Schizosaccharomyces pombe: one gene and its partners. The protein of the gene in region 1 interacts with the protein of each later gene in a pairwise test. Each region holds a gene or a part of one and is shown in the gene's direction. Other genes may lie near its edges.

Region 1 (6,281 bases):
AGTAAATAAGGCTAAACACCAACTAGCACGGATTAGACGAAGCAGTTAACAAGATTCGTTGCAATTGTATACAGTAAAGATATCAAGCAATATGCCGTTGGTTTGGTTGCGTTTTTCGCGTCGCTAGTGAATGCGAGCAAACCGTTTGGAAAAGGAATTGGGACAGATGGTTAAACATTAGGATACTACACGAAATTGAATAACTTTTGTTTTACTTTTTTCTATACTGCTACATGTTTGATTTATGAGCGTTCACTCTTTTCTTACATAGACGAGACGCGTTCTTGGTAAGGTCAATGCGCTCGTGTCGAAATGTTTATACCAGCTGAGTTCCCTTATGTCTGGCGTGCACGTGTAATAAAATAATTGTAAAATGTATTTTAATTATTTTTTATTCAAATTAGTGTATTATTAAAGATTGTATGCAATTAAGTGTAGAACAATTGAATCTCATCCGTGTTTCGTGTCTTCCTCTACATGAGCAACGTGCCTAGGGCGAATTTAGCTACACACTAGCAATGGCTCTAACATATTAACATCTCTTACTACACTATGGTTCACTGGTTTTAACCTTACAACAAGCTCTAACCCAACTGTAACTTATAACCTTACAATGGCTCTAACCTGACAGTAGCTTGTAACCTAATAGCGGCTCGTGAACCTACCATAACTAGTGTGCTTTGTTACAAATCGGTGAATAAAGTAATTTTACTATTACCGTTTAGGAACATACTCATACAACTGCTCTTCGGCGTTAATATTGCGGTCCGACACGTTGGTTAATAAAACTATCTCCTCCGGGATTTCCTTGCTGTAGCCATTACGATATGCGACGTTGATTCACAAGATGTTGCATTATAGCATCCTGACTTGAACCACCTGCAAAAATTTTTTTCATTCTTAGGCGTTTGTTTATTTACTCACCACCCACAGGTGATAATTTGCTATTCACGTTGCACTGCTTTACTTACCGAACGGATCAATTCCACATAGCGAGAGATATCGTAAACGGCAAACAATGTCTGAATTTTCATATGAGTTATTCCACATTGTCAGCTCTATCTACTTTGATGGATCACAAGTTTTCCCGGATTTTAGGGTTGCTCAATAAGCTAACATCGGTTTCGGCCCATGAATGATGTCCAGCGCATGGTTTCTCGTTTGTGTCGCAACACCTAGTCCTGAAGTAGCTGAGTGAGTGTATAAGGTACAGAAATGAAATGAAGTCGTGAGATGAATACACAATCATGAGACATACTTGGCGCCACGTTGAGTAATTGAAATGATTGAACCTTTTTTGACGGTTGGTTGAGCAGATTGATTATTGAGGTTTTATTTATTAGGATTCATTATGTAGCGCACAGGATCAAATACTAGGTTGTGCAATACTACTCGACATTGCCTCAATTCATTACTTTCGCTAGCCAAAAAAACAATACGGGCTAATTGGAAGTTAAACGTGCCATAAATTTCGTCCTTGTTGAAATACTGACGTTTTCAAAGTTACGCATAGCTTGTCTTTGATTCCTTATATACAACATTGTGCAGTTTCTGTTGAATGTAGTGAAACCAAGCGATGAATAAGCTCAAAACATGAAAATTTTTCGTTTCATTTTTTTTTGACAGGACCGTATCAGTGTCGCAGTAAAATGGGATCCTAAGTATGCAAAAACAAGCAGTTAGTTAGACAATTTATGGTTGCGTATTGCTGCTACCTTCGCAATCGGCACAATATTCAAGCAATTTGAAAGCGACTGAATGCCCGAATTTCATTGGCTATATGATGAAAAGCGAAAATCCTACTTTGACGAACTATAAAGTATAATATTCAGCGGCAATGTTGTATTAAACAGTAGAAAGGTTTATTAAAGGTTTATTAAATGTTTATTTACTCAATTGATCATTGTTGAAATTTGCTTTTGAAAATCATTGGCGTAGATTCTCGTGTCGATGAAATGTATCCCTAACAAACGCAAAAACGTTTTTTCAATGCCTAGAAATTGAAGTCGTTGAACTACTACTACAGCAAAATGCCAAATCTGTTTACTTAACTGATTAAAAGTGAAACGATACTGAATACTTTTGATTTTTCAAATAAATTTGGTAGCATATGATCGGTTTCTTGTTCTTTTTCTTTAAAAATTGGAAATCTAAATGCAAACGAAGTAATATTAATAGTGGTAAAAATATTAATAGGTATGGAACTTGCTATTTTATAAGGCTGCTTTATTACTTGAATCCATCAAACTTCTCACTTCACTGAACAGTTTTGCCATGCTCTCACGAAAACTCCTAAATTACCAAACCTGTTTTTTATATAAACACGCGAATTGCTGGATTTGGATCCTATCAGCTTCAAGTACTTAATTCATCAGCGTTCAAACCCTCTTGTATTAACAGTCTACCATTTTTATTCATCAAATATTTCTCGCTTTATTTCCATATATTATGTTATGAATATTTATCGATTGTCAGCGATATATAACGTAGTAAATTCTTAGTGTATACACTTACCGTAAACACAACAAAACTCTTTCTCAGCAGTCAATCTTCGTACCGTCCATTTCTAGTGTGTTTATCTTGGTATTGTATCCTTTATTGTTTGTGAAGGAATTTTCCAGTATTGGAATTGGAATGATACCTCAAGAAAGGTATACTCTGCTAGGGTAGGATCAATTACATACATTGTGTGTATAGGTATCTGTTTTCACATAAAAAAGGCGTCAACGATAATTCGTCTGTTATTAATAATTTATACATTCGCATAAAGCGATCAAAAAGGCATTCAATTACAGAATCCTACTTAAGCTTCACTTTTTTGAATACGAACACTAATTCAAATTCTCGCCTTCCAATACTCTCTTTTCAATTTTTGTCTCTCTTTTTACATATTTATTTATCACTGATTCGTTTGTATATTTTTCTTTTAATTTTCAAATAGCCTTTTATACATCAATGTTTACTAATACACCGGTTGGAGGGAAAAGAGAGCGTCAAAATGGCGCTCATCCAGCTTGGTCGACGTTAGGAGCGAACTCTGCTCAGATTCATCAAAATACGGCTGATTTGGCCTCCAAAATGCATAAACTTCGCTATACAAAGATAAGGTCCCCTCCTACCAGGGTGTCCATTGAATCAATTACTCCTAAACAAAGATTTCCAGCTCCCAATTTCGAACAGGCTTACCACTCTAATATTCGATACGAGCAAGAGGAATCTGATAACGAAGAATTTGAAAACGTAGTGAAAAATGGACACGAAGCTTCGACGAATGTATTCTATGAATCAGATGGAGATGATGAAGAGTTTGTCAATGAAGAATACGAAAACAGCATCGACGAGGAAAGTGATGATGAAGGGTATAGCTTGAACGAGGATACCACCGCAACAAATGCCAGTTTTAGGTACCCGATGAATCAAAGATCTACAAGGAAATCTCAATTTTATTCCTCAAAATTTAAACCATTACTTTGGTTCGGTATCACTCTCTTTTCGACTCTCCTAATAATTACTCTACTTCACAAGGGTCAAGAATTTTACTCAAGATCATTTTCATCAGATAATTCCCAACCATCTAATTCGCCCGTACCAAACATTCCTCCTGCATCCAATGACACCAAAACAAGTTTAAAGCCAGATATTATTAAAGACTTCACAGATTCACCTTCTAAAGTTGGCGGCAATGAGGAATTCGATTATTCGACGGGAGATTTAATTACAAAAAAGGAATTTGACAAGATTTTACAACAAAAAGTAGAGCAATTAAAACAGTCGCTAAAGGAGGAGATGTCTAATTACAAATCATCGGTCCCATTTGAAGTTGAACTAAATGACGATTGGAAGTTCTTCATCGAATCTACGGTTCGAAAATACTTGACCGATCCGGTTTCCATGCCGAATTTTGCATTGCTCTCAACAGGAGCGGAAGTACTACCTGCCTTAACCTCAAAACGCTATGTGAGACGACCATCTGCATTCATACCACGATTTACCTCCTATTTCTTTGATTCGCTCGTTGTTAGAGGACACGAACCTAGCATAGCATTAACTCCCAACAACGCAGTTGCGATGTGTTGGAGCTTTCAAGGTTCAGAGGGACAATTAGGAATTTCCCTATCACGCCCTGTATATGTAACCAATGTCACAATAGAGCACGTTCAGCACAAGATTGCTCATGATCTTTCTAGCGCTCCCAAGGACTTTGAGTTGTGGGTTCAGGGAATGTCCAGCAAGATGTTTGTATTGTTGGGAAAGGCGAGATATTCTTTAACGGAAGACTCTATTCAAACTTTTTCGTTTGAATCCTCCAATTATATTGTCGCTGAACCGATACAGAATGTGATCTTAAAAATAAAAAGCAACTGGGGAAATCCCAATTACACATGCTTGTATCAAGTTCGAGTTCATGGGACTGTACCCAATGCAGACGAACAACCAATACCTTCTTTAGGTGAGAAAGCCGAAAGTACTGCAGAGAATACGGGTCAAGATTCATCTTAAAGACCTACAAAATGTAAGATATAAAAATAATCTAGCCTGGAATGGTTTGAAGATCATAAAAGAGCGATTCTCTTTTTCGATTTTCCTCATCTGCTTCCTCGAGCATCAATATCTTTCCCACTGTTTCTGGAGGATTTAAATTGAAGTTTTTTGCACGTTTCCAGCGTTGCATCCTTGTCATACCAAGATATGGTCCATATCTTGCCGTAGTGTCAAAGTGATGCAAAATGAACTCTACTTTGGTTATATTTTCACAATGTATTGGTTCACTAATCCTTTCAGCCATAATTTGATTCCAAGCCTCTTCTACCTCTTTTGAAAGCTCATCGTCTTCTTTAATTCTCTCATCCAAGGTTTTGGTTGTAATTGTAACATCGGGTGTAGGCGACTGTTCAGAACTCACTTTCTTCCCTATGTGGGATTGACTTGAATTACTTCGAACTACATGTGGAAACACGTCGCGAATATTAGTGTTTTGCCCTGATTTTTTCGCTTGAGTAGTGCGCTTCTTCATACTGCGTGATATAATTCTGTAACACTGCGGTACTAGAATGAAAGGTGCACTATAAATCCAATTCTTTTTCGTGTTTACTCAATTTAGAGCATTAGTTTGTTTGGCCAAAAGAAATCTCTGAAAAAGTACATTTGGTTGCAAGTGTACTTTTAATATGTATATATAACTTTAGATGACTACTATAGCGATGTTTAAAATGCGTCACGCTGACGAGAAAATAAGTATCCAGCCATCCGCTCGTTCTTTATCGTTATACATATATCAGCCTTCATATATATTATTATTCATTTAGGTCCAAGTATTTAAGTGCATTATTGATAATTATTAAAATAGAAACTTCTTGACGACCCCTATTTCGGTATTTCTAGTTCGTTGTTGGAGCAAACAAGAAGTAAACAATACTCGTTATTAGTTCAGATAGTATTGTGGAAATTTCATAATTAGATACAAGTATTTTAGCAATACGTGTTGTCTTAATCCAGCCTTGGTCATGCAATTGAATCACTTGCCAGCCTTCCTAACATATCTTTAATACGTTTCTAAAAAGGGTTTTGGTCTTTACCGATTTAAAATAGGCAATTTCGTAAATGCAAATAGATATACTTATTAACATTTTCAAAATTTAAAAAATTTATAGTTAAATAGCTTTGAGTATTGCAAAATTTGTCTTTTGTGCTTTGCTAAAACAGCGTAACTTTTTACACTGCAATTGAAGCACAAAGACAGTTGAAACTTCAATTCCCTTACAGCTTTTAGTAATTTAAGTATCTAGTTTCATTAAGTTGTCTTTTTTTAAGGGCTTTTAAACTGTTAGTTATACAGTGGTAAACAAACTGACCGGGCTTTCTCAATGATTAAACTGCACTATCATTAAATACAGTGTAGTCAACCAAATTGTTATATTTTTTAATGCAGTCGATAAATTTACATAATGCTTTCAAACGTGAAAGACATCCTTCGTAAATCAAAATTATTGAATTTGTTAATTGTCCCTATGCTGCAAATAGTGCACAGGTAGTTTGTGTTGCAGAATTTTAGTTTCCACCAAGAGGGTAACATTACGCTATATGAGGTAACACTTAGAGGGTTTGAATGCTTTTAGTACATTTCAAAGAACCTTCCTCCCTCGACGTCTGCCAAACGTGTAAACAAAGATTGTTAATCAGTTTAGAGGAGAACATCGAATCTAGCTGAAATGTTTCAAGCACCGAGAGAATCCACTCTTTGTAAGCATCCAATATTGCGCTGGATGGTAAATTATTAACAT
Region 2 (4,370 bases), on another chromosome or scaffold:
CGCTATGCTACACTACGTTGCGTATCACTATATGTCATATGTTGGAATACTAGCTAAGATCCGTTTATTGATAATCACGGGTAACTATCCGTCTATATACATAGATACCCGTTGATAACAACTATTTAGAAATATTATAAATAGCGTTACAACTGAACCTCGTTCCTCAGTTCAGTTATGAGCTATATTAGTGATAGGTAACATTATAACCCAGTTAATACAATACCTATACTCAGTTGCTACTTATACAACCTGTGTATTGTAATATAATAGACCACAAGGAAAACTCACCGCAGTTCTACGTATCCTTAAATCAGATACCAAACTGCGTAGCTTACATAACCTAGGCTTGATCTTATCGTTATATTAAATGCTTTTTATTACCTCAAAAATCTACTTCAACAGTTTGATTTCAAGCTAAAATGGTAAATTTTAATGCATAAAATATACCCATTGAGTAATCTATTTGCTCTTTTTTTTATACCGCTCGTCCGCTGATGAAAACGTCAACATAGCAATGCTTGTATCAAGTGAAGATGGATGGTGTGAAATCACTTGTTATAACAGAGGAGTAATTGAGTATTGCTTTTTTGATCACCACTGTTTGATACACCCTTGCCTGCTAAACAATTCAATGTGAGTTTGTAAATTGCAGTTTTATTTATGATCATCGACCAAGCCCTAACATACATTTGTTACTCGATTTAATTTAATTAATTTAATATTTCAACAAGGAACTATGAATTTGGAGACTTTGTCGCCCAGGTATTTTATTATATGTAAACACAAATTAAGCAGGTCGCACGTATAAGTCTACCGTATGTTATAAACAAAGATAATAAATTTTAATAAGATGACAAATAATTTCAGGGACTTTCAACATACGAATATCAATTGTCTACTTTTCATGTTGACAAAACTTTGACCTCTTATAAAGCAAGGTCCCAATAAATTAGGTCTCCACCACCATCAACAACTTGCATTCGTGATTTAAAATGGAAAGGAAATCCCAAGTTTCAGATACAAATAATAACTCTATACCTACGTAAGTTTATTAATTATTAGTTTATTTCTTTACGCCGGACTGCGAATTGGTTTTAAGAAATTCCATACAACCTTCCACAACAGTCTATAATCTTAGGTCTCTTATATTGTTTATTCCTTTTATATTCTTAACTAAATATGTTGGAAATGAAAACTTACTAACTTTCGTAATAGTAATGTTCTGCTTAAGTTTGTGGGTTTTAGTGTCGCATTATTTACATTACCACTTATAACTTATTTTTGGACGTTGAAGACTTTATTCAAAGGTATATACTAATTGTTGAATAATTTTGATTTTTACTGATAAATTTTGTTTTAGGATATCAAACATTGTACGCAGGATTATCTGCAGCTGTAATGGTCAATATTATCTTGGCCTTGTATATAGTCGCAGCCTTTCGCGAAGACTCCGGGACTCCCAAGAAGGATATAAAAAGGGAATAATAAATTTTCAGTAACCATTTTACTACTATTTTGAGTTATGACTTTTGCATTTCAATTCTAAATCAAATTTTGAAGCGGATTTTCCTTCTGCCAACGTATTTAGGTGAATCATTCGATGTCTTTATTTTTTTTCGTTAAAAGTATCGCAAAATGAAAGACTTTAGCTGGGACTATCCTATAATCTACTGGATTTTGCATGTATGTCTATTGAATAAGGTGCTACCACAAAGCTGTTGCTGGTGATACTACTCCTTTTTGTATCTGAATTAATGAACGGAAATTTTTTTGTTTAATTTTTCGCTAGTCTGTAATGAAAATATGTGTCTGTTCTTTAGTTTTTTGTAGTTTCCCAAAAAACACGAATTAGCAAAATGCAATTGATATGGCAATTTCAACCAATTTTATAATTAAATTTTCCTTTTTATAATATAAGGCTAACATGTATGATTCTTATCAAACATAACAGCTGTAGGAATTCAGTATTCTTCTAACACTTATGCATCACTATTTTCTCTCACCCCAAACCCCTCGTATATTGGAAAGTTGTTCAAGTGAGCATTATTGATTTTTTCCCAATATAATATTGATAAAAATATATATCTGTAAAAAAGTTTGGTGTTAATTATTTATTTTATTCTGTTTTCTGCTGATTCAAAGACTTCGAACATGTCGACTGCCAGTGAACAAGCTCGACTTAGACGTGAACGTCGACTGAATAAAATCAAACAAGGAGGTGCATCTAGAATCAATCAAATTTTGGGACAGAATTCAGATGACAGTCAATCCGATGTTCGAGCTACAGCTTCCGAGGAAGCTGTACATTCTGAAACTGCAACACCAGTAACGCCAATGTCTTCAGGATTCATGGAAAAGAGAGATGATACCTTCAATGCTGATCAAGTGGAATATCTTCCTTCCCAAGATTACCATAATTTGGAAAGTTCGCCTTTTAAACTTCAGTGTGATTCTCCATATAATGTACCACCTGAAAACATGTTTAATCAAAACCCTGATTTTGCAAATTTTTTTCAAGCTATGTTACAATCCGCAAAGGAGGGATCTGATACAAATTTTCAAGGTGAAAACGAACAAATTCCTCAAGCTACAGCTCCTTTAAAAAACTTAGTTGAGAAATATGCTCATCTTTTGGCAATTTCTATAGTAGTGATTGTTTGTTATTTTAAACATTTGGTAAGTCCTCATCTTCCTTTTTTGAAATTGTTTTTTTGCATACTAATATATTTATTTCAGCCATTACTTCCGTGGACATTTACTGTCGAAGCTTGCTTGTTCTCTATTCAATTTGTTTTGGACCGTAATAATGGACCTTCTTATTCTCTTCTAGCATCTCTGGCCTCTCAGCTTCCCCCTCCCTATGGAGCAATGATCCGTCATACAACAAGTTATGTTCCGTATTTCACACAATTGATTACAGATGCGTGTATGACAATATTTGCGTTAGGTTTATGTTGCTATTTTTATCCGTCGTTGGTGTATTAATAGTTGTTAATTTTCAGCATTTACTATTTATGAATCTTGGTTTTGCTTCGCAAATTGGTGATCGATTAATTAGCATTCAATTTTTGTTTAGATGAAATAAACTAACTGATTAAGCGAGAAAGACTTTTCAAACCCTTAGGAATTCAATTTTATATTATCTTTTCAACATCTAAACGATTTATATTCTAAAACATACTGCACTTCATTTGAACTGCTTTGCAACACATGCCATATTTACGATTGTCGGTACGTTTTATTTATTTTCTCTTTTAATTCAATGGTAGCAATAGTATATGATTTAAAAAGCTCTGTTTATTGTAATTGTAGTATTAATTAAAAACAGACTACTTAAAGTAATTTCTGGGATAGCTGTGAAAACATTATAACTATGATTTTTAAAATCTTTTATCAACTTATTATTGAAATAAAATAAGTAATTGAGAATTGGCTTGGTTGACTGTATATATGTAAAACAACTTCGTCCGAAGCGCTACAACAGCATGCAAACGTTGAAACGGCGAATTCTTGTTATAGAGAAATTTTTCATATAAAACCATACGTACATATTTTGCTATTTAAGTTCCAGATTGCTTAAAAGAAAATTGAAGTGGTAGCACCATTTTTATAAATATATGCAATGGAAATGAAAAGGCGCGTTCGCGCGGTGCGTCGAGACCAAATTCAAAAAAGATGGCGTCCATTAGAGGATAAGCAGCGCCAAGAAATAATAATTATTTTTAGGACGTGTTCAAGGTAAGTAATTGAGAATCATGTTATTGCTAAAAGTGCTTGTGCTTTTTAGCGCTTACTTGTGTACTGAAAGGGAAATCAAAGTTTGCTGTTGATGTTTACCTGGAAAAGTCTTTTAAGTACTTTTCCAAATTTTTTTAGTCATTATGTGTACGTATGCTAACTGTGCTATCGTAACAGATTGGTTTTGAATACAATAAAATCAGAAACAAGAAAATCTTTGGCCGAGGAATGGTTCATGAATATACTTTTAAAAATCGAAGCTCCTCTGAGAAATTTGCCTGTACCAAGGAAAAGAAAAGAGTCAATACTGTTCTCTCAATTACTTTCTTCGAATGTAAGTTATTAAGTCTTGATACGCATACATACGAAAGAGATATGACTAACATTTTTAGATGCAATTGGAACAGCAATTATACAGTGATTTGGACCATATTAACGTACTTCAACAGGAATTGAAGGTTGAAACTGCTCGTTTGGAGAATGAACAGAAATCTTACGAAGAAATGAAACAAAACATGGCCATAAATAATTCACGGCTTGCCGATTTAAAATCTAAAGTAAGTTTAAAACACGAACAGGCGAATGTTTTATTCAAGACTTCATCTTAACATATGACACAAAATGAGTTT
Region 3 (5,060 bases), 390 kb from region 1:
TTCCACTCTCATTCTGAGCATTTATTACTTCTTTATTCAAGTACGGGATTATTTTTTGAACAACAGCGATGTGTCCATTAGCACTAGCCATATGAAGTCCAGAGTTACCATTTTCATCACGACGACTTAATTCTTGTGGACATTTCTCTATAATCTCATCTAGTAACTCCTCATCCGCAGCTCTACAAGCGTAAATTAAATCATCAACATCCATATTAAACTATCCAATCCAGTAAAGAAGGATGTTTTACCGGTTTATTTGGAAAGAGAATGATGTGAAAACTGTTCGTTTGTTAGTGTAAGGTAGCCGCGGCTTCTCCAACTTGGCTTCGGCAAGGCCGTGGTTACTTACTACACCACAAATTCCATTGCAATTTTATATAATTATTCAACGAGAACCTGCCTTCTACAGCAGGTTAATTTTTGATTTATAAGAAGGAGAAAAAGAAGTTACAGGAGTGTTTATTTCCGAAAGTCATAGAGATTTAAACCAGTATATATGCTTTCCTTGTAAAAAATTTCATTGCTCACACAGCTCTCGATTCCTCATCTAAATAGCTATCTGGTAGCGATTGGTAGACTATTTTTTCGGGTTTATTTCCCATTATATTTCAGACACTCTTTTTGACCTGCGAAACTTTTTGTCCTCATTTTGTATCAATTGACTTCAATAATGGAGTTAGAAAAACGGATTTATGTTGGTGGCCTTTCATCCTCTATTGAATCTTCAGATTTGGAATCCAGATTTTCTCGTTTTGGAAGTGTTTCAAATCTTGAAATTATAAACAAATCTACTCCAGTAGGAACTATACAACGATTTGCATACTTGAATTTTCGAACAGATGAAGATAAATGGCAGAAATGCAAGTCTTACTTATCAAATGCGACGTTTAAAGGAAGTAAACTTCGTATAGAGGAAGCTCGCCCTTATTATTTAGTAAAATTGCAGCAGGAAAAAAAAATTGCTGATCTTCAAAGTACTAATAATGATGAGAAAAATGAAGATCACTCCAGCAAAGTTGATCTGGAAGACCCAGTCTTTCATGGAGAAATAATTGTTCCCGGAAAACATAGTAAAAATATGCAGGTGGTCACGGATTCTGATGTTCGGAAGGATCCTCCTAGAAAAGGTTGGAAAAAAGGCCCCTATGGAAGGGCCATTGTCGTGCTTCGAATGTATAATAAAAATACTAAGAAAACGAGGTTTTTTTATCCGCTGGGTAAAAACTGCTTACAAAAACTATGGGGCCGAGTGGAAACGAATATGGACAATACTACAGCTTTTTATGATTCTGATCATGATGAGTATGTATCATATGGGGGTAAGAGAGCTTCTCGTGACAAAATACGTATGCAAGCAAAATTGGGTATCAAAGCTTCTACTCAGAAGGATGATAACGATTTTGAACTTCTTAATAACACAACTGGGGAGATTGAAGTCACAAAAGAATTAAACGAAGAGCAATTGGATGCTTTGCGAAAAAAAGATAAGGATACGGCTGCATCTGTGTTAGCTGAACTGTTTGGTTCTGAAAATACAGAAGAAATTGATACCGTATCTAAAACTTCAGGTGTTTTGGAACTGGACAATGATTCGACTAATAATTTCCAAAAAGAAGGTTTGGATGAACAAGATAATTTACAAAAGGAAGAGTCCGTACACATAGATGTTCCTGCTGAATTTGAAGCATTTGATGAGCGTACTGCTGTTGTTAACGTTGACAATTTAAAAGAAATGTTTTCTTCCAATGCGCAGGATACGTCTAAGTTTTCTCTTTTTGGCAATGAAAATGGAGTTGGTGAGGAAAGTGAAATGGAAAGTGAGATTGATGACCGTAATTACGAAACTATGGAAGAAGAGGCAGATGGGGAAACTCCGCTAGCTATAGTTAAAGCCTCATCGGGTACCAAGGGTTGGCCAAAAATGTTTACTCTACCCAATCCTTCTTCCCTATTCCAACCAGGTAATGAAGATTATACGAGCAGAGAAGCTCTTGAATCCTGGTGGTCGGAAAATCGTCTATTCTTAACTCGTGATTACAAACGAAAAAGAAAAGATGCCGTAAAAAGACAGCGAAGGGCTCATGAAAAGCGTATTCGACTTGTTTAAAGACGCGTATAGGTTATGTATTTATTGGGAATTTATTTGGGTATTTTAAGGTTACGAGGTATATATTGATTTTTTACACACTTTTGGAATCTTTACGTTGTTATTTCTCTATCCTTTTTATTTTAGAAAAAAATCTGTGTCTTTTTAAAAAGCCACGATGTTCACTTTGGTTTTATCATTGGTGAAAGTTAACAACTTTTTTCGTTGCACTTTCTTGGGATTTGTGGCTTTTAATATTTACAATGTTTGAGATCAAATTTTATTAAAATATTTGTTATTCTTATTGTTATAAGCCAAAGTTGTCAAATAAAACATACCGAAATTTTCTTACATTGTCAGAAAAATTATTTTCCTTTTCGGCATTTACAAAACCATATAATGTAAATTAGTTATAATTATCTGAATAGATTATCTTATAAAAGAAGACTGAATGTGTGCATAGAGTAGTAATTACTCAATATAAGAAGAATTTCGTACTATATGTAAGAAACAGAAATAGTGAATTACGCTGTATTACACTAGCGGTGCTTAGGCACGGTGATGAGGCAGCCAACAGTCAATGCTAGTTATCCAGAGCGAAACTAGCTGCCTTATTCGCGGCTTCTGTAAAAATGGCTTCTGCTATATTCGTTCTGAATTTAAAGGGAAAGGTAATCATTTCCCGTGATTACCGGTAGGCAATTTTGAAATCTGAATGAAAATCAGATTGTCGCAATTCGTCGACAGGTTACTAACAGAAAACAATTAGAGCTGATATCCCCATGTCAGTAGTTGAAAAGTTTTTACCTTTAAAATCAGAAGTTGAAGAAGAACAAGGATTCTCCACCCCTTGTCTCACTCACGAAGGCATTAACGTATGTAAAAGTTAGATATTATGAAAGCCAACAATTCTTATTTTTTTATGGTCGTACTAACACTTTTCAGTACATTTACATTCACCATAATGATGTCTACCTCCTTGCTTTATCCAAAATGAATTCCGATGCAATGGAGATGCTAGTATTTTTGCGTAAAATGGCGGACGTTTTTATAGATTACTTTAAAGAATTGCAGGAAGAGTCGATTCGAGATAACTTTGTTCTTGTTTATGAATTGTTAGACGAGATCATGGATTTCGGTTTTCCACAAACAACTGAAACAAAAATCTTGCAAGAATACATCACTCAAACCTCAAATACGGTAAAAAAGCATGCTCCACCCCCCATTGCTATGACAAATGCTATCTCCTGGCGTTCTGAAGGAATTCACTATCGTAAGAATGAAGTATTTTTGGACGTTATTGAATCAGTTAATTTAATTGCTGCTGCCGATGGTACGGTCATTCAAAGTGAAATCTTAGGAAAAGTTCGTCTCAAATGCTACTTATCAGGAATGCCTGAACTTCGTCTTGGGCTCAATGACAAGGTCCTTTTCGAAGCGGCTGGTCGTACCATTAAAGGAAACACTGTGGAAATGGAAGATGTGAAATTTCACCAATGTGTTCGTCTTGCTCGATTTGAAAACGATCGTACAATTTCGTTCATTCCTCCTGATGGCGAATTTGATTTAATGTCCTATCGCATGAGTTCAAATGTAAGTTATTAGTTTGTGCCTGTTCTTTTTATTCCCTCTCTCCTTTATCAACGTTTTCTAATATTAATTTCTCGTTAGGTACGGCCATTAATTTGGGTTGAATGTGAATCCATCGTGCATTCAGGTTCGAGAATTGAGTTTATGGTAAAAGCTAAGGCTCAATTCAAAAAGCGTTGTATTGCAAATAATGTCCAAATCATCATTCCCGTTCCGGAAGATGCTGACAGTCCTCGGTTTCAAACTAGCAATGGTCATGTGCAATATGCACCTGAACAAGCTGCCATGGTTTGGAACATTAAGAAATTTGCAGGTGGTAAAGAATTTTTCATGCGTGCTGAAATGGGTTTACCAAGTGTTAAAAATGAAGATATTCAAGTTCAGAAAAAACGTCCTGTTCAACTAAAATTTGCTATTCCCTATTTCACTACCTCAGGGATCCAAGTTCGTTATTTAAAAATCACCGAACCAAAACTTAATTATCATGCTATGCCTTGGGTTCGATATGTTACACAAAATGGTACTGAATATTCCATCCGTCAGTAAATGTTTCTAATGATGGTTCTCCGTTCCGTTCTTTTTTCTACCTTTAGATACCTTTCCCTTCATCTATATATTTGTTTTCTTAGTGTACTGATCCCATTTATTACGAAATGAAATCTTGTTTGCAGACGCGCTAATCCTTTTTCTTACTCAGCTGACATAAAAGGAGCATTTGCTTGAAACATAAATGTCTAAGTCTATTTATTGTATAAAGGATAAGTTCAATGTTTTTATTAAAACAGAAATAAAGATTTTCTAACATACAATTCCATTTACTCAGTAGTGAATCTCCGTGTATTAAAAATACATAAAAGACAGATTGTTCCAAACGGTTTTCTAAACATAATAAATTAAAAACCAAAAGCGAGAGAATGAGAGGGAGACCGGATAGTAAGAAAAAGATTGAAGGGAAAAGTTTAAAGGTCTAAGGGTGTAATGAGTTTTCAAGTACGTATTTACTTTGGAGGTTCAATTCCGAAAAACTTAGCACGGATGGACCACATGTTTTCACGGATGCTTCGTTCCTTCTCGCCCCAATACGGTGACGGAAACTCTTCTTCAAGAACAGGTGTAGCCTGTTTACACCAGTCGTGTAGCTTGTTAATGTAGGTAGCGTCTTTTGGATAATCCAAAGAGTGATACATATTATTTGCTCCACTCAGCGAAAACATTAATTCGTCTTGCCATTTCAGCTGCTCTTCTTTGCTGGGTAATTTGAGGCGACCAGACCAAACTCGCGCGAGGAACGCTGCCTGTGCTTGACTAGTAGGGAAAGGAACAACGTGTAGAGCTAAACCAACAAAAGCCAGAGTTGGATCGGGGATATAAAATATATGTT
Region 4 (5,845 bases), on another chromosome or scaffold:
GCAATGAAAGCTCAAAAACCGAGGGCTTGAAAATTGCAAACATTCAAAAAAAAAAAAGCATAAAGCACATTGCATGTACTCCTTGAGCGTAGAAGATAGGTTACAACATTCGCCAAAAAAGGTGACCACATAAATATCACTTATATTAGCAAACATCATGTATATCATGGACGAAAGTTTAAAAGGTTGGCAACCAAAGCCAAGTTCATGAGAGGAAAAGAAGATTATAACTATAATCCTCGACACAGGAAAATAAGATGTACTGTCATCGCAAAGCAATAGGCAACACGTCAGTAATAATTAGGAAAATTAAAAGAAAAAAACACAAGAGAAAAAAATGTACGAGACCGGTGAAACAAGTTTCAAACAAATCTCGATAAAAGCACAACGAGATTATTAATAGCATAATAAAAACTAGCCAGAATAAAATTAATGCAATATGCAGATCATAACACCCAACGCTCATAAAAAAGGTAACAAATGCCCATTCTAAGCATACAAATCGAAAAGTAAACGAGGCACATTTTCGATAAATAGTCATTGACGAACATTTCCATATTATAAATGAATTGCTCGCTCAATTAACTAACAAGGAATAAGATGAAGTTAAGGAAATCTAGTCAATAAAAATCAAGATTTCAAATCCAAGAAATCCATTAAAAACGTTGGCATTTCTTTTAACTATAAGCCGTTAGAAAAGGAATTCAGTAGCTTTTGTATGAAATCCTCTAAAAACCAAAAGCGAAGGAAACAAAATTAACCCATATAGAGAGCTAAATTCTATAATCCAAAAAAACAGAAAGACAGAGGTACATAGGGTGATAGTAAGAAAGTCATAATACTAGCAAAAATACTAGACTATGATAAATTCTCTTGGCCAATGTTCAAATAAATAGTGCTACAACGAACACGTGTAGATAAACGCGGAGACGAAAGAAGGTGAAACAAAAAAGTGGAATAGTTAGAACAGAACACGAGGCTTAAAAAGGTGATATGTCCTTAGACATAAATAAGCATCCAATGAAACTATGCACTTCCTTGACGCAGCATACGGAACAAGCGCTGTTCACGATCGCGATGAAACAATAAGTCTAGGGCAGAAGTAGAATGACAATGAATGCCGTTATTAGGGGAATTCAAAGTAGGGGTAATGTTACCAGTGGGATGGCCGGCAGCATTGAAGTGATTAAAAGAAGGAGTGGAAGCTGAATAGTTAGTATGAGGAGAATTGTGTCCACTGTAAAATCCATTCGTCTGTTGAATACTCTGCAATGAGGGATCGTTACGAGACATCGGACAAAAATTATGACCCATGGCAACTTCGGATGGGGTTGAAGGAACAGAGGAAGATTGATGAAACTGGAAAGGCATGTTTGAGTTCACACTACCAGTAGGAGGTTGCCATTCAGCCTTTTCGGAAACGGGAGAGTGTAAGAACGTAGGGATGGGAAGATTAGAAGCGGCCGGAGAATGAGTAAATGTAGGACCGGCGTAAAGAATGGAATTAGTATCGGAAGAGGAATTCGAAGAAAAAGATCGATCAGCACCGGAAGAATTGGAAACGTAAGAAGATACAGACTTCAAATGAGAATCAACTTCTCCGACGGCAACCTTATCAATTCCTAAGCCAGCAGGAGCCGAAGCAACACCAGAAGGAAGGTGGGAATTAGAATTGCCACCTGAGATACGAGAGCCAGCATACGAACTGTGACCAGATTTAGAGCGTCGATTCCCGCGTACTTTATCGCCATTTCGCTTACCATTGCTTTCACCAATGTTAGAAGTAGCAAAAGTACTCTTGGGTTTCACAAAGTTAGGTATCTGGAGATTACCATCTCGTTGGGGCATAATCGACATTCCATCTAAACTGAACTCGACATCGCTGGAAGCAACCATTGCTCCGCCCGGTTTAGAATTAATTTTCTTCTTATTACGTTGAAATCTACGTCCAATGTCTTTTTGCATTTTTTACTATAGTCAAAATTCGAGTAATCCCTAATGATCATGGATTCTGTATTCTTAGTGATTGATGTTGGTTAAGGATAACTTCGGGGGCAACACTCTTACCCAATATACGTTATTTGGGCTGAGGTGACACAAAGCAATGAGCTGCGCTATGCCTCCTTATAGAGCTTTCTTCCCTTAACCATTATTTGCCACCCACTTTAACTGGCAAAAAGAAAGAAGGAAAACAAAGATTCGGCACAAAGATAGAGAAATAAGAAATTGCTTTACCTTCGTTTAGTGAAGTCTTTTATTAAATTTGAAAAGGTGTGTTTGAACAGTGGAATTCAAGCAATTTCCTAAGTATATTATAGCTCATTGCTGTAATATTATAAATTTGTATGGGATTGCAATTACGTTCACGAATCAGCAACTTATGCCAGGTTTCCTTTTTAATGTAGATAAGGATTCATGTAATTAACTAGCTTATATCAGCTTTATACCATTTTTGATCAGTTTGAATTATTCACCATGGACAATTGGGAGGACCCTAACTTCGAATTGCGAAATCTTCGTGTCATAGACTTGAAAAAGATCCTTCATGAATCGGGAGTGTCATTCCCTGTGAATGCCAGAAAAATAGAGTATATTAGGATGGTGGATAGAATACGGAAAAACAAATTAAGCTCTGGTCCACAACATTTATTGTCTCATCTTCAAAAAGAGGAAAACTCTAACACCTCAAAAGCGTCTAGCTCCGAGGATGAAATAGCTCCTAAATACCTTTATCCCTCCTCTCCTTCCAAAAGCACGAAAAAGCCACACAACGAAACAGAACCGCTTCTGTCTCCACAATTCATTGACAAACCTAGCAACATTGAAACCCCGGTTAAAATAGAGTCTCCGCACGTCTCTCAAAATAATACCTTTCAGTCCTATTCTGAATTGAGCCCTAATGTGGAAACATCGCTGACTATGAAAACTCCGCCAGCCCACGCGTCTACACCAAAATTTCGCTCGCATAAATCTCATAGGGTAGCTGTTCCTATGTCATTTATGGATAGCTCTGCTTTACATACTTCGCCAGCATTTTCGGAGAGGTTAAAGCTGCTTTCATCTTCAAACAATTTTTCTCCACAATTGAGGTCTCCCAAAATATCACATCGTCTACAAACTTCAGCCACTTCTAGTCCTCTTCAACATAAACGACCCTTTACTAATGTTCCTGAGCGAGTCTCTCGAGATATCGAGTTTGCTCCTCTTGACAGTGCAAGGCCCTCTGAATCTTCATCGCCTTATTCTGAAGTAGACTCTGCTGAGGAAGATGACGAGCTTTTTCAAAATTACGTTTTGCAGCAGACTCGAAAAGAAAGCAAACTTTGGTCGTTTATTAAAAAAGTATTTCACGACATTAAGTACGCCAATTATCGTCTTCTTCACAATTTGCGCGCCTTTCCTGGAATCAGCGCGATATCTTCTTCTTATTTAGTGCATATTTTTATGATTTTATTAGGAGTGGTGGCAGCAATTTTTCTGGCTTTATTACGGGAGAAAATGTTTACAGCAGGATTCTGTGATTCGGGTGCCAGTGGAAGTTCTGCTTCAATTCTTGGAATAAGTTTTCCATCATTGTGTAGAACTTGCCCTCCGAATGCAATATGTCCCTCTCCAAATTACGTTGAATGCAAGCCCGGATATGTCCTCTACGAACCATGGTATTCAAGTTTAGGATTTTGGCCCTCCAAGTATTGCGTTAGTGATACTTCTAGAGAAGAAAGTGTTAATATTTTTCGTGAAGAATGTTTAAGTGTATTAAGATCCTGGAATGCAATTTTGCATTGTAGCAATAACTCGTCAGATTTGCTGGAACGAAATATGTCGTACAATGCGCACCCTTATGTCGCCGATAATCTTAATATATCATCTGATCATATCTCCTTCCCATCAAAACCATTTGCGTTAGGATTATTACATGATACGCTTCTTGAAAGAAAATCTCCAACCCTTGGCCTTGAAATGTTTGAGGACTTATTTAAAGCTTCTTTGGCAGTACTTTCTGAAACGAATGAAGTTGTCATGGATTCAAAATTAATTTGCTACGATAGCTGGGCAGGTATTCCTTTGCGGTGTCGTTTAAAACAGCAACTGATAAAATTTGTTTGGAGGAACAAAGTTTTTTTATTTGGAATCCTTGCGTTGTCAGGAGTTATTTTTAAGCTCATCAATTTTTTTCGTACTCGCAGTATCGTAGCAAAGTATCTACCATCGGCTTCTCGATTCTGTGTAGAATCTTTGAAGAGACAGAAAGCAAATTATCAAATGTCTCGATCTCAAGAACCCGTTATACCACTAATCGAAATGCATGATATACTCTTTCATGGAAATGGCCCATTGGAACAAATTCATATGACGAAAGCAACTGCTCGAACTCTTTGGGAAGCAATAGTCGAACGTGTTGAACAAGTTGGCAGTGTAAGAACTCGTGAATCAGAAGTAGACGGCGAATGGACCCGTGTATGGGAGTGGGTCGGCACAAATACTTTGGATTTCCAAACCGATCGTTCATTTATTAATACAACTTCCCCTTTACGTGAATAATGATTCTCGACTGTATTTCTAGCTTTGTATTTATGACATTTTTCATAGCTAATACAAAAGTAAGTTAATAATATATTTATCTGAATGCTTATACATATTAAAAATGAAACATAAAATTGGTATAATGAGGACTTGTTTGCAAGGTTGATGAAATTTAACTGTATTTCTTATATTAATGTGATTCTTAGTTATACCAAATAAATTATTTTAAAATAAAAACCAAAACCAGTACCATTTTTGATTGAATATGGGCATGTCTAGAGTAAGAAATTAGCGGAGAAAAAATAGGACATGTCACATAGAAAGGGTATTTAAAAAAAAATAAAGGAATTCAAAAGGGAGATTCACCCAACATTACGGTTGAAGATTCGTAGTCTGTGTCTTCTTCTTCCTCGTCATCATCCAAACCTGGAATTTGTTGCCATTCGTTATAAAATGGTTGAACAATTATAGAAGACTTCGTAAGCCGGTAAGGATCAAAGGGAAAATAGGCATCCATAGTGTCGAACCCTTCTCTAAAAATTCCTTTTCTGTTTTGCTCAATAATGGAATAGACGTACATAAAATTGAGATGATTTGCAACCTTTGCAAATTGAAGTACAATATTGGGGGAACAGTATCTCAATGGATTAAGCCGAGAAAGAACGGACCGATGAAGTATCTCTAAGCCCGGTATCCATTCGTTAGGTCTTGGCTCCATGGATTCAGACTCATCAGAGACACAAAGTTCACGCCAACGAAAGCAAAATATGTAAAAAATACTTTGATTAATTGCGTAAAAAACCGAGTGTTTAGATAGTAAATCATCGGACAGCTCGTTTTCACATTGATCTAAGTAAGCTTCAACCCAACGAGTCATCATATTAACGATGATCTGAATTGTATTTTTTTCTAAAGCTTTGGCTCTAGCAACGTAAGACCCAATATACATTGCACCACTTAATCTTAAAGTATAAGGTTGTGATGGGTCAAGACAAACTTCCGTAAGCACTCCAAGGAAAATATCAGTAAACTCGGGATCCAACTGAGAAGCCCAAAATATCAAAAATTGAGTATATCGACAACGGAACGTTTTAAGGACCGTGTTCACAAATGATTTAATCAAACTATTATAAACCAAGTAACGATCTCTACTAGTAGATTTTAAATTGGAATCTAAATAAGAAAATAAAGTATACAATAGCTGATCCAGTTGCTGCATCAATTGACGAGTGTCTGTTAATGAGGGAGGAGTCAATATTGTGCTAGATGTCATTTCACTTGAAATAGCAGTATGCCGTTCATATAACGTTGAAGCTGTAAT

What was found.
Region 2: the proteins of sad1 (region 1) and get2 interact in binary tests that used the Schizosaccharomyces pombe proteins (3 or more experiments, as listed by UniProt).
Region 3: the proteins of sad1 (region 1) and apm1 interact in a two-hybrid assay, tested with the Schizosaccharomyces pombe proteins (3 studies listed by BioGRID).
Region 4: the proteins of sad1 (region 1) and lem2 interact in a two-hybrid assay, tested with the Schizosaccharomyces pombe proteins (3 studies listed by BioGRID, with this or other methods).

The regions. Positions count from the first base shown.
Region 1 is NC_003423.3:2,301,227-2,307,507, forward strand, and holds sad1 (protein Sad1), read left to right. Parts: upstream 1-2,539; 5' UTR 2,540-2,955; coding exon 2,956-4,500; 3' UTR 4,501-4,531; coding exon of another isoform or gene 4,532-5,014; 3' UTR 5,015-5,435; downstream 5,436-6,281. Other genes in the region: DNA polymerase delta subunit Cdm1, read right to left, coding at 4,532-5,014; chaperonin-containing T-complex alpha subunit Cct1, read left to right, coding at 6,210-6,240.
Region 2 is NC_003421.2:187,105-191,474, forward strand, and holds get2 (GET complex subunit Get2), read left to right. Parts: upstream 1-2,009; 5' UTR 2,010-2,154; coding exon 2,155-2,679; intron 2,680-2,739; coding exon 2,740-2,988; 3' UTR 2,989-3,297; downstream 3,298-4,370. Other genes in the region: vacuolar H+-ATPase assembly protein Vma21, read left to right, coding at 996-1,045, 1,219-1,310, 1,364-1,488; kinetochore protein fta7, read left to right, coding at 3,626-3,741, 3,919-4,075, 4,134-4,298.
Region 3 is NC_003423.3:1,907,459-1,912,518, forward strand, and holds apm1 (AP-1 adaptor complex mu subunit Apm1), read left to right. Parts: upstream 1-2,682; 5' UTR 2,683-2,721; coding exon 2,722-2,783; exon of another isoform or gene 2,784-2,858; coding exon 2,859-2,964; exon of another isoform or gene 2,965-3,034; coding exon 3,035-3,682; intron 3,683-3,760; coding exon 3,761-4,225; 3' UTR 4,226-4,357; downstream 4,358-5,060. Other genes in the region: ribosome biogenesis protein Yar1, read right to left, coding at 1-214; ribosome biogenesis protein Nop8, read left to right, coding at 674-2,110; fmo1 (flavin dependent monooxygenase), read right to left, coding at 4,678-5,060. UniProt on the Schizosaccharomyces pombe protein: Component of the adaptor complexes which link clathrin to receptors in coated vesicles. Clathrin-associated protein complexes are believed to interact with the cytoplasmic tails of membrane proteins, leading to their selection and concentration.
Region 4 is NC_003424.3:2,232,123-2,237,967, forward strand, and holds lem2 (LEM domain nuclear inner membrane protein Heh1/Lem2), read left to right. Parts: upstream 1-2,155; 5' UTR 2,156-2,475; coding exon 2,476-4,542; 3' UTR 4,543-4,651; downstream 4,652-5,845. Other genes in the region: protein Edc1, read right to left, coding at 1,027-1,965; RNA polymerase I general transcription inititation factor subunit Rrn3, read right to left, coding at 4,874-5,845. UniProt on the Schizosaccharomyces pombe protein: Nucleus inner membrane protein involved in meiosis. Plays a role in regulating nuclear envelope (NE) morphology and nuclear integrity, particularly during spindle pole body (SPB) extrusion or insertion through the NE, and perhaps during karyokinesis.